Linked DNA regions of Mus musculus. Each later gene encodes a partner of the first gene's protein in a complex. Links are inferred from orthologs where the notes say so. Each region holds a gene or a part of one and is shown in the gene's direction. Other genes may lie near its edges. The genes, in order: Nup214, Nup205, Nup160, Nup107, Cetn3, Cetn2 and Nup153.

What was found.
Region 2: Nup214 (region 1) and Nup205 share a complex: the UniProt entries of both Homo sapiens proteins name them as parts of the nuclear pore complex. The link is inferred for Mus musculus from reciprocal best matches to the Homo sapiens genes NUP214 and NUP205.
Region 3: Nup214 (region 1) and Nup160 share a complex: the UniProt entries of both Homo sapiens proteins name them as parts of the nuclear pore complex. The link is inferred for Mus musculus from reciprocal best matches to the Homo sapiens genes NUP214 and NUP160.
Region 4: Nup214 (region 1) and Nup107 share a complex: the UniProt entries of both Homo sapiens proteins name them as parts of the nuclear pore complex. The link is inferred for Mus musculus from reciprocal best matches to the Homo sapiens genes NUP214 and NUP107.
Region 5: Nup214 (region 1) and Cetn3 share a complex: the UniProt entries of both Homo sapiens proteins name them as parts of the nuclear pore complex. The link is inferred for Mus musculus from reciprocal best matches to the Homo sapiens genes NUP214 and CETN3.
Region 6: Nup214 (region 1) and Cetn2 share a complex: the UniProt entries of both Homo sapiens proteins name them as parts of the nuclear pore complex. The link is inferred for Mus musculus from reciprocal best matches to the Homo sapiens genes NUP214 and CETN2.
Region 7: Nup214 (region 1) and Nup153 share a complex: the UniProt entries of both Homo sapiens proteins name them as parts of the nuclear pore complex. The link is inferred for Mus musculus from reciprocal best matches to the Homo sapiens genes NUP214 and NUP153.

Annotation. Positions count from the first base shown.
Region 1 is NC_000068.7:31,973,237-31,977,435, forward strand, and holds the start of Nup214 (nuclear pore complex protein Nup214), read left to right. Parts: upstream 1-1,213; 5' UTR 1,214-1,327; coding exon 1,328-1,372; intron 1,373-3,263; coding exon 3,264-3,459; intron 3,460-4,199. UniProt on the Homo sapiens protein: Part of the nuclear pore complex. Has a critical role in nucleocytoplasmic transport.
Region 2 is NC_000072.6:35,191,005-35,194,714, forward strand, and holds part of Nup205 (nuclear pore complex protein Nup205), read left to right. Parts: intron 1-869; coding exon 870-1,034; intron 1,035-3,400; coding exon 3,401-3,576; intron 3,577-3,710. UniProt on the Homo sapiens protein: Plays a role in the nuclear pore complex (NPC) assembly and/or maintenance. May anchor NUP62 and other nucleoporins, but not NUP153 and TPR, to the NPC.
Region 3 is NC_000068.7:90,729,009-90,732,718, forward strand, and holds part of Nup160 (nuclear pore complex protein Nup160), read left to right. Parts: intron 1-670; coding exon 671-812; intron 813-3,252; exon of another isoform or gene 3,253-3,710. UniProt on the Homo sapiens protein: Functions as a component of the nuclear pore complex (NPC). Involved in poly(A)+ RNA transport.
Region 4 is NC_000076.6:117,789,877-117,794,182, reverse strand, and holds the start of Nup107 (nuclear pore complex protein Nup107), read left to right. Parts: upstream 1-1,477; 5' UTR 1,478-1,571; coding exon 1,572-1,579; intron 1,580-3,624; coding exon 3,625-3,716; intron 3,717-4,122; coding exon 4,123-4,209; intron 4,210-4,306. UniProt on the Homo sapiens protein: Plays a role in the nuclear pore complex (NPC) assembly and/or maintenance. Required for the assembly of peripheral proteins into the NPC. May anchor NUP62 to the NPC. Involved in nephrogenesis.
Region 5 is NC_000079.6:81,781,570-81,786,079, forward strand, and holds the start of Cetn3 (centrin-3), read left to right. Parts: upstream 1-1,677; 5' UTR 1,678-1,771; coding exon 1,772-1,788; intron 1,789-3,071; coding exon 3,072-3,207; intron 3,208-4,510. UniProt on the Homo sapiens protein: Plays a fundamental role in microtubule-organizing center structure and function. As a component of the TREX-2 complex, involved in the export of mRNAs to the cytoplasm through the nuclear pores.
Region 6 is NC_000086.7:72,915,533-72,919,810, reverse strand, and holds the start of Cetn2 (centrin-2), read left to right. Parts: upstream 1-1,466; 5' UTR 1,467-1,494; coding exon 1,495-1,497; intron 1,498-2,964; coding exon 2,965-3,123; intron 3,124-3,417; coding exon 3,418-3,546; intron 3,547-4,278. UniProt on the Homo sapiens protein: Plays a fundamental role in microtubule organizing center structure and function. Required for centriole duplication and correct spindle formation. Has a role in regulating cytokinesis and genome stability via cooperation with CALM1 and CCP110.
Region 7 is NC_000079.6:46,724,853-46,729,181, reverse strand, and holds the start of Nup153 (nuclear pore complex protein Nup153), read left to right. Parts: upstream 1-1,332; 5' UTR 1,333-1,708; coding exon 1,709-1,822; intron 1,823-3,667; exon of another isoform or gene 3,668-4,329. UniProt on the Homo sapiens protein: Component of the nuclear pore complex (NPC), a complex required for the trafficking across the nuclear envelope. Functions as a scaffolding element in the nuclear phase of the NPC essential for normal nucleocytoplasmic transport of proteins and mRNAs.

The DNA of each region.
Region 1 (4,199 bases):
TCTTGGGACATCGGCTGCCTTATTTCTGAAAAAGACCAAATGTAACTGGTGTAACCAGCAGTTTGGGGATTGCCAAGTATGGCTTTGCCCTGTGACTCAAAAGATGTTTGTAAGGTAGATTTGGGTGAGTGCCATTATTGTGTGCATGTGTGTATGTATGGATGGGATGTGGTCTCCTGCAGACTGAAATAAACTAGAGCAATTTATCAGTGTCTTTGTGTTTCTTGGGGACAGCTCTGGGCTCAGTAAATTCAGAAGAGCTAGCTGACAACAGGTACCAAGTAAATGAGTGTGTCCTGGGTCTCCCATGTCCCAGACAGACAGTTGACGTCATCTGATTAAGCCCAAGACCCAGGTCTACTGTTAGCATTTTACAATGAATAGAGGCTTGCACACATGCAACTTGTTGAGAGACTGCATCTGACAGAATGTGCCCTCTGGAGCTGACCCACCAGCTCCAAGTTAGGAACCTCTTTTATAATTCTACTCCAGAAATGTCTTCAACATCAGTCAGTATACGCAGATCTGAATCTTAACCCTTCCTGGCTGAAAGCTATTGGATAATTTAACTGCTTTGTGTGGAATTCTCTTATTACATATTTTTTTCCAGACAGGGTCCCATGTAACTCAGGATATCTAGAGATTGCTATGTAGCCTAGGAAGACCTTGAATTCCTGACCCTCTAATCCCCAAAAGCTGAGATGATAGCCGCGCACCATTTGCGATGTGAAGTGGATATGGCTTATGATCTGAAACGATTGCCTTGAAAACAGTAAACAAAACCGATCTTTTGTCCCTTTTCCTCTCCGTTTTTAAAAGGGTTCTGCACCGGCACACAGTGCAGTCCACCCGCTAACCGAACCTCTCTGTCCGCTCTTCCCAGCAAAAAAGTTCCTAACTTCTCTAAGTCGGAAGCTTCTAAGAGCCCTGCAGGTAAGTGCTACCGGGAAGCATCGAGAGTCTCAGGAAGGCCGAGCGTGCCTCTCTCTAAGGAAGAAAATTAAATAGCGAGGCTGCGCACGCAGCATCCAAAGGAAGGCGGACTCCGGCCCGCGCCTCATGGCCACACCCACTGCGCGGAACCGGCCAATGGGGCCTTGTGGATTGGCAAGCGCGCGACTTCCGAGCAGCCCTCGACTGCCTCCGAGCACACTAAAAACCGGCCTGGGTGACGTCAGTCACGCGCGCCGGAAACGCGCATCTACCACGCGCCGCGGGCGCTGAGGGAAGGAAGTTGAGGCCTGAGCGGCCTGAGCTGTGTTTGAAAGGCCGCGGGTGGCAGCGGCAGCGCCAGCAGCAGCTACTTGAACACCCTGAAGGCGGCACGATGGGAGACGAGATGGATGCCATGATCCCTGAGCGGGAGATGAAGGTTAGAGCCTGGCCGGGGCCTCCCCGCCTGCGTAGTCCTGGAGTTGCCTTGGAGCCTCGCCTCTGCCGGCTGCTCCTGCAGTTCGCAGGGTCGCGATCGCTCGCCCCACAGAGCGTCCGCAGCTCTGCGTGTCGCGGGCCTGAGTTCCCTGCAAGTGCAGGTACCTGTCCTTGCGTGGGTTTGTCCACGCCTTCTGAGTTACCCCAGGTACTCTGATGGGCTGGTCGCCTTACTGGTGACAGCGATTCTTGTTTATTGAGTGAGACGTACTGTCGCCACCGTCGCTGCAGCCCTTACGACCAGCTTAGAAAGAGGAGCGCATTGAAGCCTTGAAAGCAAATGATCCAAAGTCACGTGGCAAAAGCCTTACATCTCTCTTACGATTTAGGCATGGTCTCTTGTAGCTCAAGGTGGCTTCTGGTCTTGGGCTCTTGTCTCTGCCTCCACCTCCCAAGTGGTGGGATTATTGGTGTGCATTACCACAGTTGGCTTAGACGCTCAGTTCTTATTAGCTCTCTATACTTGAGGGTGGTCCAAACTACCTAAAGTGGAGCCAAGAAACACTATCTGCCTTCAAAACCCCTAGTTAGTAGGAACAGGAAGTCAAGTTTGGCACTGGAAATCAGCTTGAACTCATGAGACTAAAGGAAAAGCAAGCGAACCCTAAGTGATCCCCATGCTACAACTTCTGGATACTGTGTTAATAGTTGGCTTATATACTCTGACAGAATGGAAAGGCAGGGGACCGTAGACAGTTGGAAATGAGTGAGTTGCAGGAAGGTGTTAGCCATTTGTGTGACCGGTGAGTCGCTAAAATGCACATGGGTCGAGTGCTCCATATCATGCTTAGAAACAGTGGCTCTTCCTTGAGTCAGCACATGTGCTGAGCCCGGTAATGGGCAAGCTTCATGTTCCTCAGATATGTTCGGGTAGAGAATTTAGAACCACAGGGCTAATAGCAGTATTTTAATTCCTGCCAAAAGCAGAAAGGAGAGGTTTGGGTTTTGGGTTTGTCTGTTGTGTTTGTTTTGTTTTGTTTTGTTTTGTTTCTTTTGTGTTGCTTCATCACACTGGCCCACCACAAAAAAAGCCACCAAGCCCCAGTGGTACAGTCATGACTATTAGGATGATAATATCAAAAAAGATAGATGATTTGTTTCTTTATGAATGGCCAGTGTGGCCTCATGGGGAAATTTGTGTGAACTTTTACCCACCGTATTCAACTGGGATTAAGAGTACTGCTCTTCCAGAGCTCCTGAGTCCAATTCCCAACACCTACAGGGCAGCACACAATTGTCTGTAGCTCTAATTCTCACACAGACACATGCAGGCAGAACACCAATGCTCATAAAAATCTTCCAGTAAATATGTATTAAACATGGACTGCAAGAAAATTAGTATGTGTGGGTGTGCTAGACACCCTTTATGAAGCATTTCATAAGGTTCTGTAGAAATACATTTTCTCTTGTAGCTGTCATATTCTTTTCACTAAAATCCCTAGCTGGAGAGTTAGGAGGTGTGGTGGAGGATACAGATAGAGCTTAACAAAGTGATTACAGATTAACACTTTTTGAGGGTATTAGATCCCCAGGAACTGGAGTTACAGACAGTTGTGAGCTGCTATGTGGGTTCTGGGAATTGAACCTAGATCCCCTGAAAGAGCAGCCAGTGTTCTTAACCATTGCTTCCTCTCTCCAGCCCTCTCTATTTATTTCATTCAGCAAATGTTAATGAGTATTATACCAAGCACCACCAAATACAGAGTCTAAAAACAAAATTGGTGGCCTCAAGGTAATAAGTATATTTTTGTTATCCTGAAATTGCATTTATGGACTATGATAATAGACATGATTTAATTTCTTCCTTGATCTTGTTTCCTATTCTAAAACAGGACTTTCAGTTTAGAGCACTGAAGAAAGTGAGGATCTTTGACTCTCCTGAAGAGTTGCCCAAGGAGCGCTCGAGTGTGCTTACCATATCCAATAAGTATGGTATGCTCTTCGCTGGTGGCACCAATGGCTTGAATGTTTTTCCTACTAAAAGCCTTCTTATCCAAAATAAACCTGGAGATGATCCCAATAAAATTGGTAAGCACGTTCTTTGATTTATAGTGTGCAGCAGAGCCAGGGCTGCAGTAGCATACTAGTCAGTGTATTTCCTTACTAAGACACGATTCTGATGTCAAAATTGTGATTTCTTTTGGCCTTGCAGGGAGCTTCCACTTAGGGTGCCAAAGGCCTTTCTGAGTTTTCTTTTCAGCTCTCTGCTATTGTTTCTGTGAGCCACTTCTCTAAGATGAGAGGGAAGAAGACCTTACTGTTGTGCTCAGTTGAACGTGGGCTCTGGGAAGCCATCCAGAAGAAGGCATGGCTGTATCACCCTGCAGACGGAAACGTGTGTCTGCAGCATTGAGCAGAAGTGTTTTCAGCAAGGGCCATAGCAAGAGTCTTGGGATATTTAAAGCAGCATTACCTATGTACAGGAGAGTTAAGCTTAGTTCCTGTAACTAGATATCCAAGGTATTGTTACTCTGTATCCATCGTGCATCAGGAGGAAGTGGGGAGAGTGCACCAGTGGGCTGGTGAGACAGCAAAATCTTCTATGTTAATACACATAAGCAGAGTTGCTGATGATCAAGACTGCCAGACAAGAACTCCAGGAGTCTTGTTCCTTCTGGCAGCTCTGATTGGGGACTGAATCAGCAGGGTTTATAAGCATAAAAAAATGTAAGCAACTGGGACAAGTTACAGTTACAGTTTTCACCAGTCAGGACTCTGGGATTAGGGACTCTCCCAAGTGTTTCATTGTTGTCAGCTGACATTGAGTG
Region 2 (3,710 bases), on another chromosome or scaffold:
AACTTTTCTTCTTTGTTTCTGTCTGTGCAATCCAGGCAAGTTTGAAACATTTTAAATGTGCAATGCAATTTAAGACTGAGGCCAAACTCTGTAATGGAGGAATTGCTTACCATACCTGAGGCCCTAAGTTTGCTTTCTAATAGCAACGACAGCAAACTCTGTCTTTGTTTTTTGTTTTGTTTTGTTTTGTTTTGTTTTGTTTTGTTTTGTTTTGTTTTGTGTTTGAGTGAGAGGTTCTCTGTTTAGCCCTAGCTGTCCTAGAACTTACTGTGTTGATCAGGCTGGCCTCGAACTTCAGGGATCTGCCCACCTCTGCTCCCCCAGTGCTGGGCTTAAGGCGTGCGCCCCCTGTGCTCAGCTTTGTTCCTGTGCAGGTGGTTTCCTGAAATGACGGTGTTACACGGTAGAAAGCAATGTGGTCACGCGTGCACGTGCCTGCCTTTGCTGCAGCTGCCTGCTTTGTTCCTTACTCACATTTGTAAAACTTGTGAAACACAGATTCTTTACTTCTCTTTGACATAGTTTTTGTGTATGAGAAGTAGGTGACTCATTTTATCTTTAGAGAGCATTTATTTATATTTTAGAATTCCTGTATAGAAAAAACAGTGAGTGCTTCTTTTTCTAATTTCTGCTGTCTATGAAACTTATTGGAAGTTGTTAACTGAAATTTAGGGTTGTTGTTTTTAGTTTTTATGCATATAATACTTTAACAGCAATACAGATATTTTGTTATATCAAATAATGATGTTAATTAGTCATCATTCCTTTTGAAAATGCTGTGTTTATGACTTTTAGATATCCATGTGTGACGGATGTGAGAATTTATTTCTGCTCTTTTTTGGTGAAGTGATGTAATTTTGTGTTTTCAGATATGATTCACCACCTTCCACTGTTGACAGAGAGACAGTACGTTTCGACAATTCACTCTCGCCTCCAGGACTCTCAGCCTTGGAAGCTTCCTGGACTGCAGGCCACTGTTAGGCTTGCCTGGGCCCTGGCGTTGAGGGGGATATCCCAGCTACCGGATGTAACAGGTAAGGAAGGAAGGTTGGAGAGAACTGGCTCTGCCACTGTACCTAGCGATGCATTGATTTTCTTCCTTTAAAAGTTTTTAGGTGACTTATTTTATGTGCGAGTGTTTTGCCTGCATATATGTCTGTATTCCACATGTGTGTCTAACATTACCTGAGATCCAAGAATTCCCTGGAGTTAGGAATGGTTTCTAGTTATCATGTGGATGTGGGGAATGGAGCCTGGGTTTTTTTGAGGAACAACATCCAGGGCTCTTAACCACTGAGCCATCTTTCCAGCTCTAAATGCGTTTGTTTTCAAATATCAAATTTTAAATCAGAAAGAGAAAGTGTAAATATGAGCACGTGAAAATACAAGTTGTTTGATAAAAATTTGTGTTAGCACTTTTCATTCCAGCACTCAGGATGTAGGCGGATCTCTATAGTTTGGGGCCAGCCTAGTCTACGTCGAGCTCCAGGCAGGCAGGGTTGCATAGAGAGACTGTCTCAAAAACAACAATAACACACCCCTCATAACTTTGTAAAGTAGAACTGAGATGCACCTTATTTGCTGTCTCAGAAGAGAACCTCAGAGGTTACCTCCTTTTGTGAATCTAGTGAGAGGTCTTTACCTTCAGTGTAGGAGTTGAGAAGAGTGAGACTCCCACAGAGTCATACCTATCCTTTTTCTTTTTTGTGGTACTGATGATTGACCTTAGAGCCTTCTAAATATGTGCTAAGGGAGGAGGGTTCTGCCACTGAGCTACGGTTCTAGTTCTTTCTTTTTTAAACAGGGTCTCATGTATCCCAGGCTGGCCCCAAACTATGTAGCTAAAGGTGCCCTGGAGCTTCTCATTCTCCTGGCTTTACCTCTAAAGTGCTGGGATTATTAAATGTGTGCCACCACTTAAATTTTTGTTTACAAACTTTTTCACATTGTATCAAACTGAAGATCTAGTTTTTTAAACTCAGTGTGTTGGAAAGGAGATGTTTGGATCAATCAAGCATAGATAGGTGTGATGCTTTGAATGAATATGCTTGGCCTAGGATGTGGCACTATTAGAAGGTGTGGCCTTATTGGAGTGGGTGTGTCCTTGTTGGAGGAAGTAGGTCACTGTGGGGGTGGGCAATGAGACCATCCTCCTAACCACGTGGGAGCAAGTATTAGCTGCCTTCAGAACAAGAGGTAGAATTTTCAGCTCCTCCAGCATCGTGCCTGGACACTACCATGCTCTCTTTGATAATGGACTGAATCTCTGAACCTGTAAGCCAGCCCCAATGAAATGTTGTCCTTTTAAGAGTTGTCGTGGTCATGGTGTCTGTTCACAGCAATGAAACCCTAGCTAAGACAATAGGGCCATTTACTTAATCCTGTTCTACACAGGGCAAGCTATTCTGTTGTCTAGATTCGTGAAATGATGCTTAGAATGGTTTGCTTTACCAGCTGTCCTTTCATTGTAATTTGAAATACAAAGGCTTTTTCACTTCTCTAGGTTTGCGTAAGATGAGGTTCAAGGGAGGAAGAGTTTATTTTGGCTCCCATGGCTTGTGGGGGTTTGTCATGGCAGATAGAGCTCAGAAGGAGTATAAGAAGTGATGGCATGAATCTGCAGTCAGGAAGCAGGAAGATAATATGGTGTTGCGCTAGTTTGCGATCTTTTTTTCCTCTTTAAATTCAGCCTAGGGCCTTAGCCTATGGTGTGAAACAATCATATTCAAGGTGAGTCTTTCCTCAAGTAAACCTCTCTAGAAGGTGGGGCTCTTAGTATTTGGGATGCAGAGGCAGGAGGATCTCTTGAGTTGAAGACCAACCTAATCTATAAAGTGAGTTCCAGGCTAGCCAGGGCTACACAGTTGAGACCCTGCCTCAATAAAACCAACCCAAACAAAGTCAAAACAATAACAAGAAAACCTTTGGAAATGTCTGTGATTAAAGCTCCTATATTGTTTTTGCATGCTATGTTTGTATAAGAGCTCTCTGTCTATATCAGTGTTAACATTGCATTGATTAGCAAGTCACTTATGGGAAGAGCCAGTGCTCTTACAATTGTTTTGCTTTGTTTGAGACAAGGTCCACTATGTAGTCCTGGCTAGCCTGCAGCTTGCTACAAAGACCAGGCTGGCCTCAAACTCAGCACTCTGCTTCCTGAGTGCTGGGGCTAAAGGCATACATCACCATATCCAGCTACATTTGTATTTCAAATGTACTCTTTTAGTAGTTCTTTGGAGTTTGTGAATCAATTACAATTATATATAATTTCATTTTGTGCATAGCACCTGTTAGGAGGCTGGAAAAATGTCTGAAATATGCTTCACTAACATTCTGTCATGAGATACAAGCTGAGTTAAAGGCTTTTCTCATTTTGCTTTTCTGTGTTCTGAATCTGTAGCCCTGGCTGAGTTCACAGAAGCAGATGAAGCAATTGCAGAGCTGGCCATTGCTGATAATGTCTTCCTGTTCCTCAGCGAGGCTGTTGTGCTGGCTGAAAACTTCTATCAGGAAGAGTTTTACATCCGCAGAATCCACAGTCTTATCACAGACTTCCTTGCATTTATGCCAATGAAAGTAAGTATGGAAGTGTAGGAAGAGCTTTGTGAAAGAGTTAAAACACAGTTTTAAGATTTATTTATTTGTTTTATGTACGAGTACACAACTGCTCTCTTCAGAGACACCAGAAGAGGGCATCACATCTCTTTGCA
Region 3 (3,710 bases), about 59 Mb from region 1:
TCAATTCAGTTGTTAGCTGGAAAGATGACTCAGCAGCTAAGAGCATGCGCACCTTTTATGAAGGACTCTAATTTGATTCCCTGGTACATGGTGGGAAAGAGAGTCAACTCCCGAAAGTGTTATGTAATTTCTAGATGGATACTATGCCAAATGAGCCTACACACACAAGATGCATAGATAGATAGGGGATAGATAAAAAATAAGCTTTGATATGTTTGCTAACACCTATGATCACAGCACTCTGGAGAGTCTTTTTTTTTTTTTTGTTTTTTCGAGACAGGGTTTCTCTGTATAGCGCTGGCTGTCCTGGAACTCACTATGTAGACCAGACCAGGCTAGCCTCAAACTCAGAAATCCGCCTGCCCCTGCCTCCCGAGTGCTGGGATTAAAGGTGTGCACCATCACTGCCCGGCAAAATAACTTTTTTTTTTTTTGGTTTTTTTTTTTTTTTTTTTTGGTTTTTTGAGACAGGGTCTTTCTGTACAGCGATGGCTGTCCTGGAACTCACTTTGTAGACCAGGCTAGCCTCGAACTCAGAAATCCGCCTGCCTCTGCCTACTCTGGAGAGTCTTAAGAGCAGCCTTGTCTACCCAATTCATTAACTAATTAGTTCCTAATTAACTAGTAGAATAGGAATCTGAACTCCTTTGTCCTTTTTACTTTTTCCAAGTGCTACAGATGAAGCATGGAGGCTATTGTCAACTTACTTGGAAAGATACAAAGTCCAGAATAACTTGTATCATCATTGTGTGATTAACAAGTTGTTGTCTCATGGAGTTCCTCTGCCTAATTGGCTTATAAACAGTTACAAGGTACGTGGTATTGAGGTGGGGTAATAATTTGGGAAGTGTACTGGTTTACAAGTCATTTGTGGCAGTAGTTGGGAGGCAGAGACAAAAGGATCAAAAGAACTTCAAAGCCAGCCTAAGTGAGTTCAGGGCCAGCCTAGGCTAAATGAGATACTATCAAAAGAAGTGGAAGACAAAGGAGAATTCACTGGCTTAAATGCTTTGATTCTCAATCATCTCTAATAGGATGAAACAATTTATCTTAAATTCCACATATAGTACTGGGGACTTATCATTGTATAGTGAGCTCATAATTAGAATAATGAGTATATTTCATGCAACAATATCTACTATCATTGTTTAAAAACTTAACAATAGTAGGTAAAATGTTTCCCAGATAATACAAGAGTTTATCTTTGACTGGGAGGCTTATCTATTAGTCTGTTGTCTGTCCCCATGAAGAGGTACCTGGGCAGGTTAGCTTTTTAGAGAAAGAGGGTTACTTTGCTCACAGTTTTATAAGCGAAATGTTCAAGAACACTTGGCTCATTATTCTGACCTCCAGTAAGAGCTGTCTGTGCTGCTCTATCATAGTGTGTTGCAGTGTGGTGAGACTGTACACAGCAGAATATGGTCCAGGAAGCCAGAGGGCAATTCACCCTCCACTGTCATTCATACCTGCTCACTCTCCTGAGAATTAATCTCTTCACAGTGGACAGACCCTCCTTGACCTAAACATCCCCCCACTGGGTCCCACTTCTCAAAGGTTCCTTCCTCTCCCATTGCTACTACATTGGAGGGTCAAACTTCCAACATATGATTCACATGTGGGCTATATTGAATGGTAGCTTCTTTCTTTTGTTGTTTGTTTGTTTGTTTGTTTGTTTGTTTGTTTGTTTGTTTCGAGACAGGGTTTCTCTATATAGCTCTGGCTGTCCTGAAACTCACTCTGTAGACCAGGCTGGCCTCGAACTCAGAAATCCGCCTGCCTCTGCCTCCCAAGTACTGGGATTAAAGGCATGCGCCACCACGCCCGGCTCAGTAGCTTCTTTAAAATGTCAATTCCTCGGTCTTAAGTCAGATTATCTGGGGCCAGGAACCAGAATTCCACATTTTGACAACCTTCTGTTTTTGTTGTTTTGTTTGTTTAGGGGGGAGTTGTTCTGTTTGTTGAGACAGGGTGTCACTGTAGCCCTGACTAACCTAAAACTCACTGTGAACTAGGCTGGACTTGAATTTACTATGTAAACCAGGCTGGGTTTCAACTCAGAAATCCTCCAGCCTCCATCTCCAGGTATGGGGATTAAAAGTGTGCAACACTAAGCCAAATTGTTTTAATGCTTCATGAGCAGGTATGAATGACAATGGAGGCTGAATTGCCCTCTGGCTTCCTGTCTGATGATAAGACTATATTATGCTCTGTACACTCCCACCACACTGCAATAAGCTATGATATAGCAGCACAGCTTCATGAATTTATATGTTCTTTATCATTCCAGTTTTAGTATATATGCTGCTGTGGCAAGTGCTTCTGATTGGGTTAGATGTACGCTTGATTGAAAATGATATCTGAAGCACTTTCAGTGGGATAAGGAAAGAGAATATAAAAATTATTAGTAGTAAAATTGGTTAGGCATTTGTAATTACAGAATTTGGAAGGCTGAGGAGAGGATTACTGTGAGTTGAAGGCCAGCCTGGTCTATATATAGCAAAACCCTGTATCAAACAAACAAACAAAAACGGAAAAGTTCGGTTGGTAGAGTGCCTGGCATGTGGGAAGCACTGAGCTCAAGGATGTGGTCCACATGTAGTGTCAGCCTGTGCTACATGAAACTCTGCCATAAAAGAGGAGAAGAAAATAGAGAAAAGTAGCTAAAGTGGGAGAAGTAAAACTGATTACATCAGAGCAGAGGAGGCAGCTTCACTGTAATGAAGTACAGTGGACCCAGGCATGCTGGCCTGCGCCTTTAATCCCAGCTCTCGGGAGGCAGAGGCAGATGAATCGCTTGAGTTTGAGGCCAGCCTGGTCTACACAGAGTTCCAGGACCGCCAGGGCGACACAGAAAAACCTTCTCAAAAAAAAAAAAAAAAAAGTTACAGCATTCTCCTTGTCTTACTGCTGTTTTACTGCTATGAACAGAGACCATGACCAAGGCAACTCTGATAAGGACAACATTTAGTTGGGGCTGGCTTACAGGTTCAGAGGTTCAGCCATTATCATCATGGTGGAAGCATGGCAGCATCCAGGCCTGCAATGGTGTAGGAGGAGCTGAAAGTTCTACATCTTGGCAAACAGGAGAAGACTGACTTCCAAGCAGCTTGGATGAGGGTCTTAAAGCTCATACCCACAAGTGACACAACTACTTCAACAGAGCCACACCTCCGAATAGTGCCACTCCCTGAGCCAAGCATATTCAAACCATTACACTCCTTGAGCTGCATACAGATTTAAAGCTGGTGGTACCTTGCATTTCATTATTTCTGAGAGTTAATGCATACATCCTCCACTTCAGTGCTCAGCGTTCCTGAGAAAACATGTTGACATTACTAATGTACAATTGAAGTAGGAACAAGTTAAAACATGTCTCAGATCACAAAATAGAAAAGAAAAGCCACTTAACAGACAATATTACAGTGTGCCTGGAGGTAACTGGGCTCATGGGAATTTACAGATCTTACCCTGAGGTGCTCGCTCACACTAAGAACCTTTTTAAAATTGGTTGATTGGTCTGAGGCAGGACTGTGTAGCCCTGCCTGCCTAGATGTGTACTGTATAAGTTGAAATACAATTGTATTGGAAAAGTTAATAGGAAAACCTGATTAATTTGTTGCTGTATAGAAACAATCAGCATATGTTTTGGTAATACATTTAGGTTGTTTGTGGACTTAGTTTCTTGGATAATTTCTAAAACATTCTAGAAT
Region 4 (4,306 bases), on another chromosome or scaffold:
CTCTAACTTAGTAGGGCCTGAGCATGGCCCTGATTCCTGTCTGTACCTTACTCTGTGCATGGGACGGGCACAGTAAAGAAACTGCCACCGTGACTGCTCCGTTAGGGATAAGGTTTTTAATGTGGGTAAGAGAGAGAAAAGATCCAGAGGCACCTGGAAGTGCCCAGAGCGGAGAGAAAAAGAAACAGGCTGGACATGGCCAGGGCCGGGGAAGCTAGAGAATGGGAGAGAATAGTTACATCAGCAAGAGATGGGAGTCAGGACAGAACACACCCAGACACCAAATGCTCAGCACAAAGGAAATGTATTACCCAAGACGGACAAGCAGAAGGTGTTGCCTCCGTCTGGATCGGCCAAAGAAGGCAGCAGGTGTCTCTGCAGGAGAAAGGGGGAAGGCTGTGCTAGGATGAGTTGGTAAGTCCTAAGTGGACATGTTAGCCAGCTAGTGAATTTTGATAGTTGGACCTCGGAGTTTTAGTCAGGCATAAGGATGTGGCCAAATAAGGGAAGAGACCTTGGTGGCTAGGTTTAGGAATGTAATCTAACGGTTTAGCAAGGGAGAGGGGAAGGGAGAGGGCCACACCTGCTGGTGATGTGTCTGCAATGTCTGCGCCTGTTGGAGCTCTTCAAGATAGTTTTGTGTGCAAGATGAGAGAGCAGAGACTAGAAATTAGTGCAGAGTCGGGATTGTGGGGACAAGTAGCTAAGAAGACCGAAGGAAAACGCATTACAGGAGTTCCTGAGGAATGCTGGCGTTTATCTAACCGCCAGAAATCAGAAATGGTTCAGCCAGAGCTCATTTCTAGATATTTGGAGGGCCTGAGACCTAACATTTTTGAGGTACTGGAACAGGTAAGTATTCCCACGCCCAAAACTTTTAAAATTTATGATAATAACAGCAACAATAATAATTGCTATTATTACTATCGTCAGGCTTTCTTAGTGCAGGCTTGCTTCAAAATCGTGGTTCTTCCTCCTGCCTCAGCCTCCCATGTGGCTTTCTTATGCTTTGCTTTTTTTATTGGATTTCTTAAAAAACGGCTGATTCCGTAAAAGAGAAATAAATAACGAGAGAAAACAACCTCAAAACCCGTCCAGTGAGGTTACACCACAGTTCAAAGAGGTGAGCGCCCCGAGACAGGCCAGATCCCGTAAAGTGGCGCTGAACCGCAAACAAGAACGCTGAATGCAGACTCTTCAACAGATTCCTAAAGTCCAGGTTATAGACTTCCGGCTTCCCAGAACAACGCCCCACCCAGACCACGCCCACAAGCCAGGCTCAGGCGACATACCCAAGCTCCGCCCCTTTCCCCGCCCCCTTCCTGCCTGGCCGGCACCACCCAGCCACGCAGTCACTCCCTGGCACACTTCCGCGCCTGCGCCCACTGAGCCTGCGGCTGGAGACGAAAGTCGCGCATGCGCCGAGCGGGAACATTGTTTCTCTGGGACTGGCTTAGCCAGGCCGCGCTTCCGGGTCGAAGGGTGTGCTTCCGGAGAGCGGGAAGGCTGAAACGCGGCGGCCAGGCTGCAGTCAAAGAGTTGCAAGGTTCTAGGCGGAGACCGCTGAAGCCATGGACAGGTCAGTCCTGGTAGGGACGCCTCGGCCGAGACTGGGGCTCTCGCCTGTTAGCGACGTAACCGCCTCCGCGGCCAGGGATTTGGCCCTCGGTGGAGGAATGGACGCTTGGCGCGATTGGAGCGGGGATGTGAGAATGCGGATCCCCGGGGTTCCACGCCGCGCCTCCCGGGTCTTCTCGGCGCTCGCTCCGAAGTGTGCGGGGGTCTGTGATGGTCCCGCATTCGAAATGCGAAATGAAGCAGTTCGAGCTCAGGGCCATCAGCCGCACTGACAGTTCAGCCCAGACGTCCTCAGCGTGGTTTTATTGCGGTTATTAAGTCATGTCAGCTGTACGTTATTGGGTAACGGTGGTCAGCTTAGACTTTAAAGTGCCGGCCCTAGGGAGTTGAATTTCTCCCTCCCTCTCAAATGATTTATGCTCGCCTGACACGAAGATGGGTTGTTTAAGGCCCTTGGCATCGGGGAGTAGATTGTGTAGTGAAGACAGTCGAGCAGTGTAATACGATGTATTTATACTGTACTGCGGGGAAAATAAATGAAGGAGATGTTTTATCTCCCTGTCACAGGAGTTTCAGGCAAACCTATAAAAGTAACTTGCTAGCTGGTCTTTTGAGTAATAATAGCACATTATTGATACTGAAAACATTGTGCTAGGGGTTATCTTATGTGTGTTCCTTAAGCTTTAAGTGGCACATTTAGTTTTAGAGCAATCCCGTGAGGATCTTATCTATATAGAACAGTGAGCCTGTAAGAGATTTAAGGAATGGCATAGTTAAATAGAACCCTGTTATGGGGCTGGGGATATAGCTCAGTGGTAGAGTGCTTGCGTAGTAACCCTTAGGTTCTGGGGGGGGAAAGAGAAACATTACCAGCAGGGACCTTTGAATCTCCATAAAGCTGTTTGATGAATAACTTAAGTAGATAGATGAACATCCAGTGACAGGGGAACACATATAGACCTCTGTAAAAGAAACATACTCAGATATAAAGTCATGAAAAATGTTCACGCTTGTGTGGCTGAATGCTCCCAGCAATGCGGATGGACTTGATGGGCAGAACTAAATTAGGATGGTGGTGTAAATACTGTGCTGGTGAGTGTTAGCTTGAGTCTGCAGAGAAGAGGAAGCTGGCTGGAGATTTTAAGTGGAAGAAAGGTGTACTAGAAGGATAATTAAAATCAACCCCCATGGTTTAGTTTATAAGCTGTCAGATGACAGTGCTGGAGGCCCATAGCACTGTGCTAAGACAGGAGACATCCTTAGTCTACATGGAGGGAAATCACTTGAAGGGCCATTTCTCCTCTTCACTAGAATTGCTTCACTTTTTCTTTCATCCCGCCAAGCCATATCGTACTCACAGTCTGAAGTATAGTCCTGGCTGCATAGCAGTGTTTGGTCAGCATGCAGGCCAAAAATATAACAGTGGTCCCATATGATGATATTGCCTAGTGACATGATGACTGGCTTAGCTTGTATAGATATATTCTGTGAAGTTTTCATGAGGATTAAAAAAAAGAAGAATTCTCAGAGCCTGTTCCTTCTTTGTTTGGGTTTGTTTTTGAAGCTGCTTTCACCCTGTCTCAGATTGGCCTGGCACTTCCTATGTAGTACAATTTGGATTAGAGGTGTGAGCCTGGGCTAAAACCAAGCCCTTCAACAAGCAGCTAACTCATCACCGTATTTTAGAGAGTGCAGAGTCCTTCCTTGTAGAGAATTCTGTAGTCAAGCAGCTCTTTGGTCTGATGGAGGAAAAGATTTACCTTTATGAAGCCATACTGTAGTATAAATTTCGGGTTCTAAGATAACTCCGCGGAGAACATACTATTGTGATACTAGGCAGTCAAAGACAGGGCTGGTAGCCGAGCACTGGGTGGGATTTGGGGGAGTAAGCAGGACTCAGAGACAAGAGGTTATTCTTGCCAACAAGATCCAAGACTTGGCTATTGGGGTGAGCCGTCCCTCGACTGACGAAGATCCTTTCTTTGCCCTAACTGTAACGGTAGTCCTTCAAAGATGCCGTCTAAGACCTTGATTATACTGTTCTAGGAGTGGCTTCGGGGGGATGTCATCCCCTGTGATCCGGGATGCGGAGGTGACGAGGACTGCCCGGAAGCACAGTGCTCACAAAAGAGTTCTAAGTATCCTTCGTGTCAGGATTGCAGAGTGCAGGGTGCCGTGAATCAGGGCTGTGGGATTAAACATTAGCTGGGATAGAATTTGGCTTACCTCCATTGGGGTTTACATATATGTTTACATACACGGGACATACATGTTCTCAGTGAATGTCAGTGAGCTAAGATGCCTGTTTCTCTGAAAAGCATGTTGTCTCACTACTGGTATGCCATAGTAGTCAAAACTTATTATCTAGTCTCTATCTGAGAATTTAAATGACAGGTGGCTTTAACAGCTGTACAGAAAAGGTGGTGCCCATAAAACACTTTGTTCTTGAAAGAAGTGTGCTCATGTATCTGTGTAGTAAATCCTTGCTTGACTTTAATGATTTTTCTTTTCTCTACATGGAAACTTTCCTTAATTCTTCCTAAGTTCAGGCCAACCAAGAGGACAATTTTGGTACTGCTACACCAAGAAGCCAGATCATTCCTCGAACGCCAAGCTCCTTTCGACAGCCTTGTAAGATTTTGTTTGTGCTTTGGAAGTATTTAATGAAGTAGCCAGCTGGCATTTGTATAATTTTCATTATAAAATATTTAGCTACAATATCAGGAAG
Region 5 (4,510 bases), on another chromosome or scaffold:
TTTATTTCACTTCCTAGAAGAATGTGAAATTTATGTGTTTCAAGAAAATTCTTCATATTAAATGAGAATATTTTACCAGCTTTTTAATTCTATCAAAGTTCCATTAAAAAAAATCTCATTATATTATTTCTCAGTAATTTATTCCTTCTAGTTTAGTTTATTTTGTCCTTTGTTTCAAACATCTCCATGTAAATGGTTTATTTTCACCTTTATTTAATACTTTTCTTCTTAGGCTTGGTTTTACAATCTTAAAATTTTAGTAGTTTTTTTTTTCACTAGTGTTCTTTAGTATACATATGACGTAATCTAATTTCCTTTTTTTGTTTGTTTGTTTGTTTTTTCGAGACAAGGTTTCTCTGTGTAGCCCTGGCTGCCCTGGAACTCACTCTGTAGACCAGGCTGGCCTCGAACTCAGAAATTCACCTGCCTCTGCCTCCCAAGTGCTGAGATTAAAGGCGTGAGCCACCACTGCTTGGCCTAATTTCCTTTTAAACTTGTTAGTAAAAGTACTTAATTTTTATATTTTAGGCAGGGTCTACTACTAGTCCTGGCTGGCCTGCAATTCACAATGTAAAGAATTCAAAGATCTGCTTACATGTCTCTTGGGTGCTGGGATTAAACATGTGTAGCACCATGCCCAGTTGAGTTCTTCAACATTTTTCTACTTTGGTTTTGGGAGTGCTATCATTTAGCTATTACTTTTTAGCTTTATCCCAATCCTTTACTTGTCCAAATTCCTATCTACACTCTAGCTTAACTCATGCATAGCCAATTACACAGCGTCCTTCGTTCACATATAAGCTTACATACAGTATTTGCCGTTTCTAATTCCTAGCCCCAGTTTATTGTATTTATACCGATAAGCACTGCAGGTTAGCTCAGTAGTTTCCAAGTTTTCCACAATAATACCTCATTTTATGCATCAAATATTTATGGAGCACCTAAGTTCCAGATATTTTGTTTGGTACAAATACTCGTGTAAACAGAACCCTGGCCTTGAAGACAGTCAGTCTCGCTCGCAGTCTGATGATCTAAGTAAACTTTAAGAGGCTTGGTGGGCAGTGAAGATAAGACGCACATAAACACTTTATAGCACTAGAAAATGAGAAGCAGAAGCAAGCACACATTTCCAATCGCACAGAAGAAAAGGGTGGTTTGGCTAGTCTCATTGTAAATGACCTAACAAAACAGCAAAACGAGAAGCCTAATCCATAATCCAGCCTGCCTTAAAATCACTTGGGAGATGTACGGGGGAGAACGCTTAGCTTGGTCCTCACTGAACTAAGAATAAAGAATGTCGCCTTTAGATTTAAGTTTCTCAGGTGCACCGGCCACCTAAAATTGTACATCTTTTCGCAGACCTGGTTCCCCAATAAACTGCTCCCTCGTTCTGAGCAGGCTGCTTGGGCTGGCCTTTTCCCTTCCCTCGGTCGACGCCGTGCATGTCACGCGTGGGGCCTCGCCTTGCCTGCCTGAGTCTCGCGTGGTGACTCTAATACGCGCGCAAGGGAGTCGGGAAAGAACCTGGCCAATCCAGGGAGCCAGACTGACAACCAGGGCCAAAAAATGTGTACTTGATTGACATGAATGCTGACCAATGAAAAAAGAAGAGCAGCGACGCTTCCGCCCCAATAGGCCGGCTGTTGGCAATTTCAGCCAATCGCGCCCAGAAACTTGTCTGGTGGGTGGTCCCCGAGGCGTGGAGGTTGGTGGCTGTTGAGCGGTTCCCGTGGTAAAGTCCCCGAGTGGAACATCTCTGTCGGAAGAGAGAATGAGTTTAGCTCTGAGGTCGGTAACGAGGAGGCCGTGCCTCCGTCCCCCCAGAGGGCCAGGGCGGGTGTGGACGGGAGACCGGGTCGGGGGCGGGTGCCCAGCGCCGAGCACCAGACCTCGGCGGTTCCCGCCTCCGGGCACCGCCGCAGCCCGAGTGAAGTCTCGCGAGGTTTCCCTCACGCGACTGCGGGACTCAGCCCTGGTTGCCTGATTCCCCCTGGAAAGTCGCAGGAGCGCTCGCCTTTCTCCCCGGGCCCCGAGGCACGCTGTGCTCTAGGCGTCTCGGGTGGAGCTCGTTTCCGTGACACCGTCCTTTCACTTCCGTCCATCCCTCCCCTCATTGGCTCCTCACCTTGCCCATCTACAGTTAAAGGTGCCCCGGGCGGGCCGCGCCGCGCCGCCCCTTTGGCTCCGCAGGGTGACGAAGGAGGCGGGAGCTGGCGTGGGGGTGTGGCGAGTGGGGGCAGCCGGGGTCACGTGGGCCACTGGGCCGGCGTCCCTGAGCCCGACGGCGTCCAGACGTAAATAGCGCGAGCAGTTAGTTAGCCGAGTTTCAAGGGTTTGAGGTTTAAAGCTTCCATCTTTTAGAACGTGCGGATACACGTGCTGTATCCTCGTTTACACATTTGGACCGCTTTTTGCATTGGCAGCTTTTGAAGGCAGACATTTTCAGATCCAAGTGCCCTTTTTAGATTTTTCTTTAAGCTTCTCCAGAGTTTTAAGACGTTTAACCTATCGTTTACATGTTAAGTGAGAGTTAAAACACTTTTAAACATCACGTAGACTTAAGCACGACTATTAGATGCTGTGATTTTTTTTTTTTTTTTTTTTTGGTGTCTAGTATTTGAATGTTTAGACCCTTTTATATTTTGCCTGGCTAATATCAGTGGAATAAAACCACAAAGCAGTGTTACAAATGTATAATCTAAAAACATTTTGAGCTTACAGTGCAAAAGTAATCTTTTAAGTTTTATGGTTGTTTTTTTGTAGTAATTGTGAGAATTTATAAGCTGTCCAAAATCAAGTCTATTCTGGTTGATTGTTTTGTTCTTTATTTTTGGTAGATGACATTGTTTTGTTCTTTATTTTTGGTAGATGACATGAATAATATGTATGGTGTTTTCGGTGCTTTTGACTTTGTTTAGGATTTCTCTTATAAAAGTACATTTGACTACAGGACATTGATTTAGGGGCAGTTCCTTTATTTGCCAGGCTACTCTGCTTTGTTAAAATTTAGAAAATGAATCTTTGTCCTAAGATGGGTTAAAGTGGCCTAAAGACATTTTTCTGTGTCCTAGAGGTGAGCTTGTAGTAGACAAAACAAAAAGGAAAAAACGAAGAGAGCTCTCTGAAGAACAGAAGCAAGAAATTAAAGATGCTTTTGAGCTGTTTGATACCGACAAAGACCAAGCCATAGATTATCATGAATTAAAGGTAACAGGGGACTTTTAAGACCCATTTTTGTTTAACTCAATTGCATTTGTGACTGTTGCTTTAAAGTCTATTTTAGAAGCTTGTCTCGGAACTGTGAGGCTGTTTGTAGTGCCCACCCACAGGTGGTACAAGAAAACAGTACAAACAGAATATGGCTTGTAGAACCTTGTATTTAAGTGCGTAATGATGGAAAGTGTAACTTCTCCATTCACCCAGTTAAAGGGAGAGTCCTTAGCATGCTCTTCCCACTGCTGTTTTCCTCTGTGGGATGGTATATAGCTCAGCTTTTTAAAACACGATGTTTGTGGCCTATGCTTGTTGCTTGTGCAGACCTGTACATTCCATGTGTATCATGTGCAGTGTAGAGTACGGCCTTGTGTGCCTTCCAACACTGTTGCCTTGAGACAGACTGTCTCATTGAATTGGAAGTTCAGTACTTCTGAACTAGGTTGGCTAGAGAGTGAACTCTGGGGTCACTCCAATCAACACACCTCTGTCACTGGCACCTGCAGCCAGGCCTGTCTTTTTACATGAGTGCTGGGGATTTGAACTCTGGTCCTCAAGATTGCAGGGCGAGGAGCACTCTTACTCACTGAGCTATCTCTGTAGTGCAACCTAAAAAGTTTTGAGATGGAGAGATAGTTGCCTTTGCTCAGACATTTCTGAGATTGAGCTTTTAATTTTTAAAATAGTACTAACACACTCTTAGTGTGCTCGTCTCTGTTACAAAGGATATAAATTGTCTGATGCCTAATGTTGCTATGTGCTGAGGGAAAATACCCAATTTAAGGATTAAAATTACGAGTAAAGATCGAGGGGGAAATTTGTTATGAACACATTTCTTATGTTCAACCCAGTGAGAAAGATAACATTTGATATCTTAAATGTTAACTGTAGTTTTAAATTGGGCAACATTGTAGGTGATTTTTAAGCATTTCAAGTAGGGGTAGATAGAAACTGAGGTGAGAGGATAGACTATCTGAAAGTATTACAGGCCTGAAGCTGGGGCCTCAATATTGAGGCCCTCTGTTCGCTCCTTCCCCATCCCACTTGTGTCTTGCTGCCGCTCCCTCCCGTGCAGTCTGAGTCCGTCCTGTACAGTGTCTCGCCATTTGTTGGCATTGACTGTTTCGGTTTGGGACTTGGTTTCACAGCTCGAGCTTCCTCCTTTTCTATTCGTCTTTACACTACCCTTACATATCTATCTTTCTTGAATTCTTTGACCATGTTGTTAGCTCATAAGCCTTTCCTGGCTTCCTCTGCGTTTGTTGCCCTTTGATGCGGCTGTCTCCACTACCTCCAC
Region 6 (4,278 bases), on another chromosome or scaffold:
CCTGGTTTACATAGTGAGTGCCAGGTCAGCCAGAATTACAGAGTGAGACCCTATCTCAAAACAAAAAAATTATATCTACCTGTGAAATTTTCTCAAAGAATTAATCAAAATACTAAAAAATTTTAAAAAGTTCATGGGACTGGGTAAGGTCAGTGAAGGAATGTATCAGCCGCAAAAATAGTGCCCTGGGTGAGAGTGAGCCAGAGGGGGAACAGTGTGGGTGTGATGGGAGAAGGAGGAATTTCATGGCAGGCTTTGCAGATTATGGTGAGAACTCCAGCTCATACTGCTGAGGAAGGGCTGAGGAGGAACAGAGAAAACAGAGGACAATTCAAGGACGGAACTGTGAGAACTCAGAGGCTGGATATGGGGGATTGTTGCTGCAGTGAACAAAGGAGCCAAACAAGACACAAAAGTTTTGAAGCCGGTTCCTGGCTTAAAGGAAAGAGGGCAAAGGGCCTATATTACATTTATGGGGAGCTGTTAAGTCTCAGGCCTTTCTCAGTTTGAGAGACTGATACTGTGCCCTTAAAGTCCCTAAACTGATTTTCTTTGCTTTGAGGGACGTAGAACATAGAATCTGTGTTCGACCCTGGGCCTTCATTACTCCTGGCACAGCTCCAGGTAGCCCCAACCCGTTGTGCACTTTGCCCTTTAATTCTCTTTACATTCCATACTTCCAAAACTCCTGTGGCTTTGCTTTCAAGGGAGTCTCATTCAGGAATGCTCCTTCCCATGTGACTTGAGTGTCTGTACGTCTAACAGGACACATTTTGATGAGTTTTGAAGATCTAAAAGTCCCCAGCCCATTCCCCTGAGAGCTAAAGTGACTCTTGTAGAGCTAATGTAAAGACAAAGCCTCATGTGGATTGGGTTTCTAAGCCCCAGCCCTGTGAACCACTGACACAATACTCAGCATGCCCACTCCAGTTTCGAGGTCTCAGCTTCTCCTGGCACAGTCACCCCTCCAAACCATTTGGTCATATCTTGCTGGCCCCTCAGATGTTCTGTGTCCCCCAACTCGGTTTTAAAATGGGTCCCACCCATTCCCTCCTACTTCCTCCAGGCTCTGTCACCCACACGCAGCAGCCTCTAAGGGCAAGCCCGCAACTCTTACCCGGTTTAGACACTCAAATGATCGACCTCAGCTTGCAGACAACCGGCAACCAGAGAAGTCTGGCTGAACACCCGCCACCCTTTTCTACTGATAGATATGAGCCCACAATCAGCAGAGCTTCCTTCATAATGTTGATTGGTCTAGCTTGGCTCTGGCGCAACCAATTGACGCTCACAGCATGATTTTGCCCAATGAGGCTAGTCTTTGGCTGCCGACGCACCGCCCTCTTGCTCTTGGGCGAGTTTTGCCAGGTTAGCCCCACCTCTTCGTTCCCAAACCAATGGGAAGCGGGCTGTGCGCGCGTGGAGCAGTGGGAACGCCGCTGAGGCTGCGAGTACGCCGTTGCCTTAACAACCGGTGGCAGAGTCCGTTGGGTGATGGTAAGTGCTAGGGATTCGGTGGACCCCACGCGGCGTCCCCGGTCCTTTCCTAGGCCTCGGTGCAGCCTTGCTACCTTTCTTGCACGGTTCTTGGCGTTGACGCACTAGTTCTTCCTTGGAGCTGTGTGCCGGAAGGGTAGAAGAGAAAGTACAGCCGCCAGCAGCTTGCCTTGCCTGCTCTTTCCCACTACCCCCTCCTCGCCCAAGTCACCTTCAGCCACCCCCGCACAAACTGCCTCTGGACCTCCGCTGGCTTTCAGGAAACAGCAGGGTGACCATTCTATTGCTTCCCTTAGACTTCCGCCTCAGTCAAACTCAGGCCTCCTGGCCGCGGCCACCCAGTTAAAGTTTATGCATTGGTGCTAAGAGGTTTACTGTGTTCTGATGGTCGCAAACGCTTTCAGGAGAGGCTGTGAGAAAGCACGCAGGTGCAAATGGTTTGATTTTTATCACTTTGTACCGGCATAATTTTTATCTTAGTAAGTTTACATTTAGCCAAATTTAGGCATAAGTAATTGGAGGAGCAGAGTTCTTGGGAACTGGCACCACAAGTAGATGTTTTAAGTACATTTCTAAAACCGAGAGTACGGAAATCATATACAGTTGATCATCCATAACTGTAATTGGTTTCTCAAAGAGCTTTTGATGATGCTTTTTTAGATTTAAAAATGACTGAAATTGAATCTCCTAAAGTGACACATGGATTAATGGTACAATTGCATGAACTTTCTGTAGTATAAACTTTAAGACAGTGGAGGTCAGAGTTATGTCTTCTCATGAAGGCTATGTTAACACTAGAAATTCATATTCATATATTCACTTGCTCTATGTTGATCTATACAAGAACAAGGAGGAAAATGGTAATATACTATTTTAAAACAAAAACTCTCTTCTATTTGGTGGCTCCCCAATGAAATATAGTTGAATTTAGTCATATGAGACATCACATTAAGACAAATTTACAGTTATATTAGAAAATAACCTCATTATTGCCAATTTCTTTTTTTATAACTTAGTAAAAACTGACATATATAAATTGAAATAGTTTTAAGTTGAGAGAAAGTTTTTTCTTCACAGAGGTTTGTGCTATTTGTCATTTAGAGTTGGGGTTAATTTTATTTTAGTTTTTACACTTATTATTCCTTGGTGGAGAAGCACATTTTAGCCTGAGTGTGGCGGTCAGAGAATAATTTGGAAGAGTTAGTTCTCTCCTTTTACCATGTAAGCATCGTTTCCCTTTTCATCTTTGACAACGACAACTGAAGCCTGGGTCCTGGTTCCCACTTAGGTTATCAAGCTTGGCAGCAAGAATTCTCACTGGCCCATGGAAGTTTACGTAATGACATAAGTACATTACAAACGATGGCACACCTCATTGAAAAAGATATGTATGTTTAGAGCTGTCATAAATAAAACAAGGACTATGGCTTGTAATAATGTGCTTCTGTGTTTATATATTGTGTGAAGGCCTCTAATTTTAAGAAGACAACCATGGCATCCAGTGCCCAGAGAAAAAGGATGAGTCCTAAGCCTGAACTTACTGAAGACCAGAAACAGGAAATCCGGGAAGCTTTTGATCTCTTTGATGCTGATGGAACTGGAACTATAGACATCAAAGAACTGAAGGTAAGCTGCACACATCCTTTTCTTTGTTACCTTGTGTTTCCTTATTGCTTGTCTTTTAGCTGTTACCGTTCTTCTCCTTTCTGCCTGCAAAAAGTAACAGACAAGGGTACCCTGTGTATATTTTACCTGAAACAATGGTCTAATTGATAAAGTTGATTGCAAATATCAATTAAATCAGCCTTAAGTGTTCCCTGATCATTTCCATCATTTTATCAGGTGTTTGGTTAATATCTTCAATAGTCATTTTTGTTTTTACGTTATGTATCTATTTAGATGATTCTGTTTTCATTGTAGGTGGCAATGAGGGCCCTGGGCTTTGAGCCCAAGAAAGAAGAAATTAAGAAAATGATAAGTGAAATTGATAAAGAAGGAACAGGAAAAATGAACTTCAGTGACTTTTTGACAGTGATGACTCAGAAAATGGTAAGTTAGTTAAGATAATTAGCATGCTTTCTACCCATAATGGTAGAAACATGAGAATCTAGACATACAAAGAGCTTTATCCAACAAAATCTATCCCTTCCACATGGGAGAAGATAGTATTTTTAATTGAGAGGATCTCTACGTTTCATTTGGCTTTCTTTAAGGTATTAGCATTATCTTGTTTCATGTGGCCACATGATAATCACAAGCAGTAAAAACTTTTAACACCGAGATTTTCAATGCTAGTCATTTTTGGTTTTAATTTATTATTATTAAAAATTAAATTATCATACAATAAATCAGGTGTCAATCTGACATTTTCAGACAAATGGTTCACACTTAAGATTGGTTCCTAGATTATTCTTCCACCTGAACCTCCTGGCAAGAACCTTCCTGAAATAGCTGAGGTTTGAACGCTTTCAGAAATTCTGCTCTTCTGCATTACAAGGACTCAGGGCCCTGGTAATTCTTTGAAGGCCATTGTGAAAAATACCTCTCTCCTCCTCTGCCTTTATCAGTCTATCTGTTTTAGCAATGTATTTTCCCTGACTACAACCCTACTCACTGCTTCTATATTTTAAAAATGAATCTAGTGTCTGCTTGTTTTGTACAGTACTTTATATACAATTATATTTCCTATGTAACCCCTGAGTTTATATTCACTTTACTAAGTATGTTTTCTTTTTTTTTTTTTTTTTTACAATGTACCATACTTGTTTGCCTGTGACCAAG
Region 7 (4,329 bases), on another chromosome or scaffold:
CATAAAAACAAAAAACAAAAAAACCCTGGGTTATAGTCCTGGCTTTGAGTGCCCAATTAGATATCCACCCTCTTTTATTTTTTTCCAAGTCAGTTCTCTATGCAGCCCTAGCTGTCTTGGAAAACGCTTTGTAGACCAGGCTGGCCTTGAAGTCACAGAGATCCATCTACATCTGACTCCTGAGTGCTGGGATCAAAGATGTCTGTCACCAGCCAGGCTCTAAATCGATACCCTTAATGGTGCCCCTTAAATTTTCTTGGTTTCCATATAGTCCATTGAATGACTAGGCTGGACCACATGATCACACAGACCTTTTGTCTAATGCCTGCATCTTTAACACGGTGTATCCGGTCTTTGAGGATACATTGTTTAGTCACCTAACTATAATATTAACTGAAGCAAATATATGTTTACTAGGGATATATGAGTCACCCTTAATGTGTGTTGATTGCATAGGTCATAATTGCAACCATTTACTGCGTTTCTTGTATACCAGGAAATCTACTGGGTGCTCTCTACACAGACGACCGCACTAGCTCCCCACAACTTTATAAGGTAGATTTAAATAGTAGAGTCATCCAAGGTCAAGTTTGTAAGTAGTGAAGCAACTCAGAATGCCAGCACGGTGTGTGTTGACAACAAAGCCCTTATATGTTTAATGAAACAGTAATGAAGTTGTATTTTTTGCTTTCGTTGAGACAGAATCTCACTATGAAGCTGAGGGTAATGTGTAACTAGCCATTCCCCTGTGTCTGCCTCCCAAGTGCCAAATGCCTTTCCTACTTTGTTTTTGGCCTGGGGATCGCGGCCACGGTTAATTTCAACGCGGTCTCCCCCCCCCCCCCCCCGGATTGTGATGCATTATGGTTCTTTGATTTTACTGTTTACTTCCATTCGGCTTATAATTGATGAATGGGAGATTACAGTATTCGTGTCGAGTGCCCTTCTGAATCTAAACAAGCAGCCAACCGCCGCCAAATGACCCGGGCTTTGTGCCTCTGCGGTGCTCCGTGGGTGTCCTTCCGCTATAGCCTGCCTTTCCGAGAATCCGCGTTCTGGCCAGAAAAACTACATTTCCCAGAGGCTCCCACGACAGGGAGCGCGGGCTCGGCCAACCCTTCCTTCCTTCACCCATCCCCCCCCGCATTGTCGCAGCGTGATGACGCAAAGCGTCGGTCGCGGAGGAGTGACGGTGTTCTGGCTCGCGACCGGGGCGGCCGCCTCAACAGCGGTAATAGGCGCAAGAGCGGCGGCGGCGGCGACGACTGCAGGGACGACGACGGCGGCGGCGGCGGTGGGGCGGGCGCAGCGCGCACAGGGGGAGGGGTTGGCGGGCGGCGCCAGCGGCCTGGACTGCGGCAGCGACGGCCAGGGCGACTGAAGAGGAGCCTCTAGCAGCGGGCGGTCGAGCTAGGCCTCAGCGGCGCCCGGAGCTGCTCGCGCCGGCCTCGGCGGGAGATCTCCATAGAGACGGTGACAAACACAGACGCGGGGGTCCGCACGCGGCCGGCGCTCCTCAGCCACCTCGGGGCCCTCAGCCGCCGCCACCGCCTTCCTCGCCGCCGCGCGCACTCTCAGTTCCCGCTCGCTCCCTCGCGGTTCTCGCTGTGTCTGTGTGTCGCCTAGGGCCGGGCGGGGGAGGCCCTCAGGCCGCCGCCTCTGCCTCTCCCGCCCGGGAGCGGTAGTGGGAGGCCGCCCAGGCTCCGCCATGGCCTCGGAAGCCGGAGGCATAGGAGGGGGCGGCGGCGGCGGCAAGATCCGGACTCGTCGTTGCCACCAGGGGCCGGTGAAGCCTTACCAACAGGGGCGACCCCAACACCAGGTACGGGACCGGTACGCCGTGGCGACTGGGCGGCTCCGGGCGGTCTCTTTGGGGGGCGGTGCGAGGACCCGGCGGCCCCACGTGGAGGGGACCAGAGGGCCTGAGGCTGGACCCGGGTGGCGACGGGAAGTGGGTAGAGCCTGGCCGGGCCTGGCGGCAGACACGTGGGATGCGAGCGGCCTCTCCCAGCCCTCCCGCCCAAGGGCTTTCCCTGGCGGGCACAGGGCGGGAAAAGAAATCTCAGGCTTCGGATATTCGGGCTGCTGCTGCTGCTGCTGCTTCTTCTTTTTTTTTTTTTTTTTTGGCGGGTTTTTGGGGGTTAAATGGTATTCCTCACGACCTCACGAAGGGAACAAGGGAAAGATGTGGCAACAGGCCCATCCGCTGGCAGGCTTTTTCTTTCTTGTGTTCCCGGGTTCAGGGTGCGCGGGGAGATTAATCTGCCACCGCGGCCCGGAGAGACTTGGGGAGGGGGCGCTGTTACCCATATCGTGGAATAATTTCGGTTTTAGACGCGTTAAATCATTAATGGTAGTCCGGTCCCCTCGTCTGTCTGCTTGGCCTTTCCAGATCGGAACACACTGGTTTAGCTTCTCATCCTTTCCTCTCTTAACTGAGTTATAGTTATGTGGCACTGAGGCGTTTTGAAAGTCCCTCGCCGCTCTTACGTCTGGTCTCTGATGCGTGGTTCTTCCCTCTCTTCTCTCCACCCCGCTCTATATACTGAAGACCAGAATCATCCACTCTCTACAGTTGACCAGTTCTTCAGCTCTGATCTCATACACCAAATATTTTTAATACTGGGCGTTTTCTAGAAGTTTAAGGTATTTCGGGCTCACCAGGGGTGTTACTTAAGCCACCGTATGCCTTCTTTGGGTGTTTATAAAAATGTCGATTCTTGTTGTAAACGAGATAGTTGGTTCAGAGAACACTTTCAGTTATTAAAAATTGTGAGAATTAAAACGTTAAAAACTCACTTTAACGAAGCCACTTTTTAAAAGTAGGAAGTGTATATTTTAAGCTTACTGAAGAAGGGCTAATATATAACTTGTTGCATACTCTTAAATGTAGACTTTTTGTTTATTCTGGCTAGTGCTAAAATTGAATACTTGTTGGTAATGTTAAATTATATCACTTTTGAGATTTTTAAAATAAAGATAGGGAAAGTTTTGAATAGAAACAGCTGTGTTTTATGTACTAAGAAGTTATTTGTCATTGCTTGGAAGCCTTGCAATATTACCATTTTCCCTGAATGCTGAGGAGCCCGGGGTCTTCAGAAGCAGACTTTAAGATTAAAATCAGGTCACAAGCCTGGCCGTTTTACTTTGCCTAATACTGTACAATGGACATTAAGGCAAACATACTCTTATACTAAGAGTAATGAACCACCTCTGATTGCTTGAAAACAGTTTGAGCAAAGAAATGGATGGCTTGGATAGAGTTTAAAAAGAAGCCAATATTATGTATGATATTATGATAGAATTTAGAAAGAAGCCAAAGTTATGATCACAGCTTATTTTAAAATGTATTTAGGTTAAAAAAAAAAACCAAACTAATTTGAGAGAGAAGTGCATTCAACTAAAACCAAACATGTTTTAGAGCTGGTACAGATTTCAAGCTGTATGGTTTTAGAGCTCAGTAGTTCTAAGACATGTTAGCTTCTTGCCTCAGTCATTTAATTTAAAATGTAAGTACATCTTAATTTGAACTGGAATTAAAGATAACTCTTTTTTGGTTAGCAGATTTAATTTTGGCAGAATTGACCAAAGAAAAAAGTGTTTAGGCTTATATAAAAGTATGCAGCTCAGCTTTTGTTTCTGTCTTAAAGTAAGTAACTAGTCTTACCTCGGACTTAGTGGATGTCATTGTCCTCTACTAGCCGAGCTTGTCAACTGGTTGTTTTGCAGCAACTGCTGAGTCATCATCTTGGATATATCAAGGAGTTTCATGACATGGCATGTTTCATACTAATGCTTGATAAGTGTCCATGGCCTCTTGGCAGACTGAAGAGTTGTGTTAGACTCAGAGTAAGCAGGCTGGTGCTTATTGGTGAATGCAGGACAGCAAATGTCAGGCCAAGGAGCTAGCTACTGCAGTCACCCAGTACCTGTGACTCCTGTATCATGTTCAGTTGATTTCTGATTTCCTGTTTTGACTTCTGGTTTAGGTCTTCTGGGAAATGTTTAAACTTTAGCATTTTTCTACTTTTAACTTTCTTCCTTTTTCTTTTTCTTTTTTTTTTTAAAGCCACCTTGCTTGAAGTTGTGGAGCTAGAAAGATATTGTCTTGATCAACCAGATAAAGGTCAAACAGTTACAAGTAGACATAGTTGGGCAAAGAGGTACATACCTGAAATCACAGCTGCTAAGGGGCTGAGAGGCCAGGGGACTCGGAATTTGAGGCCAGTCTGGGCTTCATAGTGACACTAGGCTAGTCTGAACTGTAGAGTGTCTCAAGAAGTGTAGAAGCAAATGAACAATGCAGGATGGTTATTTTCACCATTAACC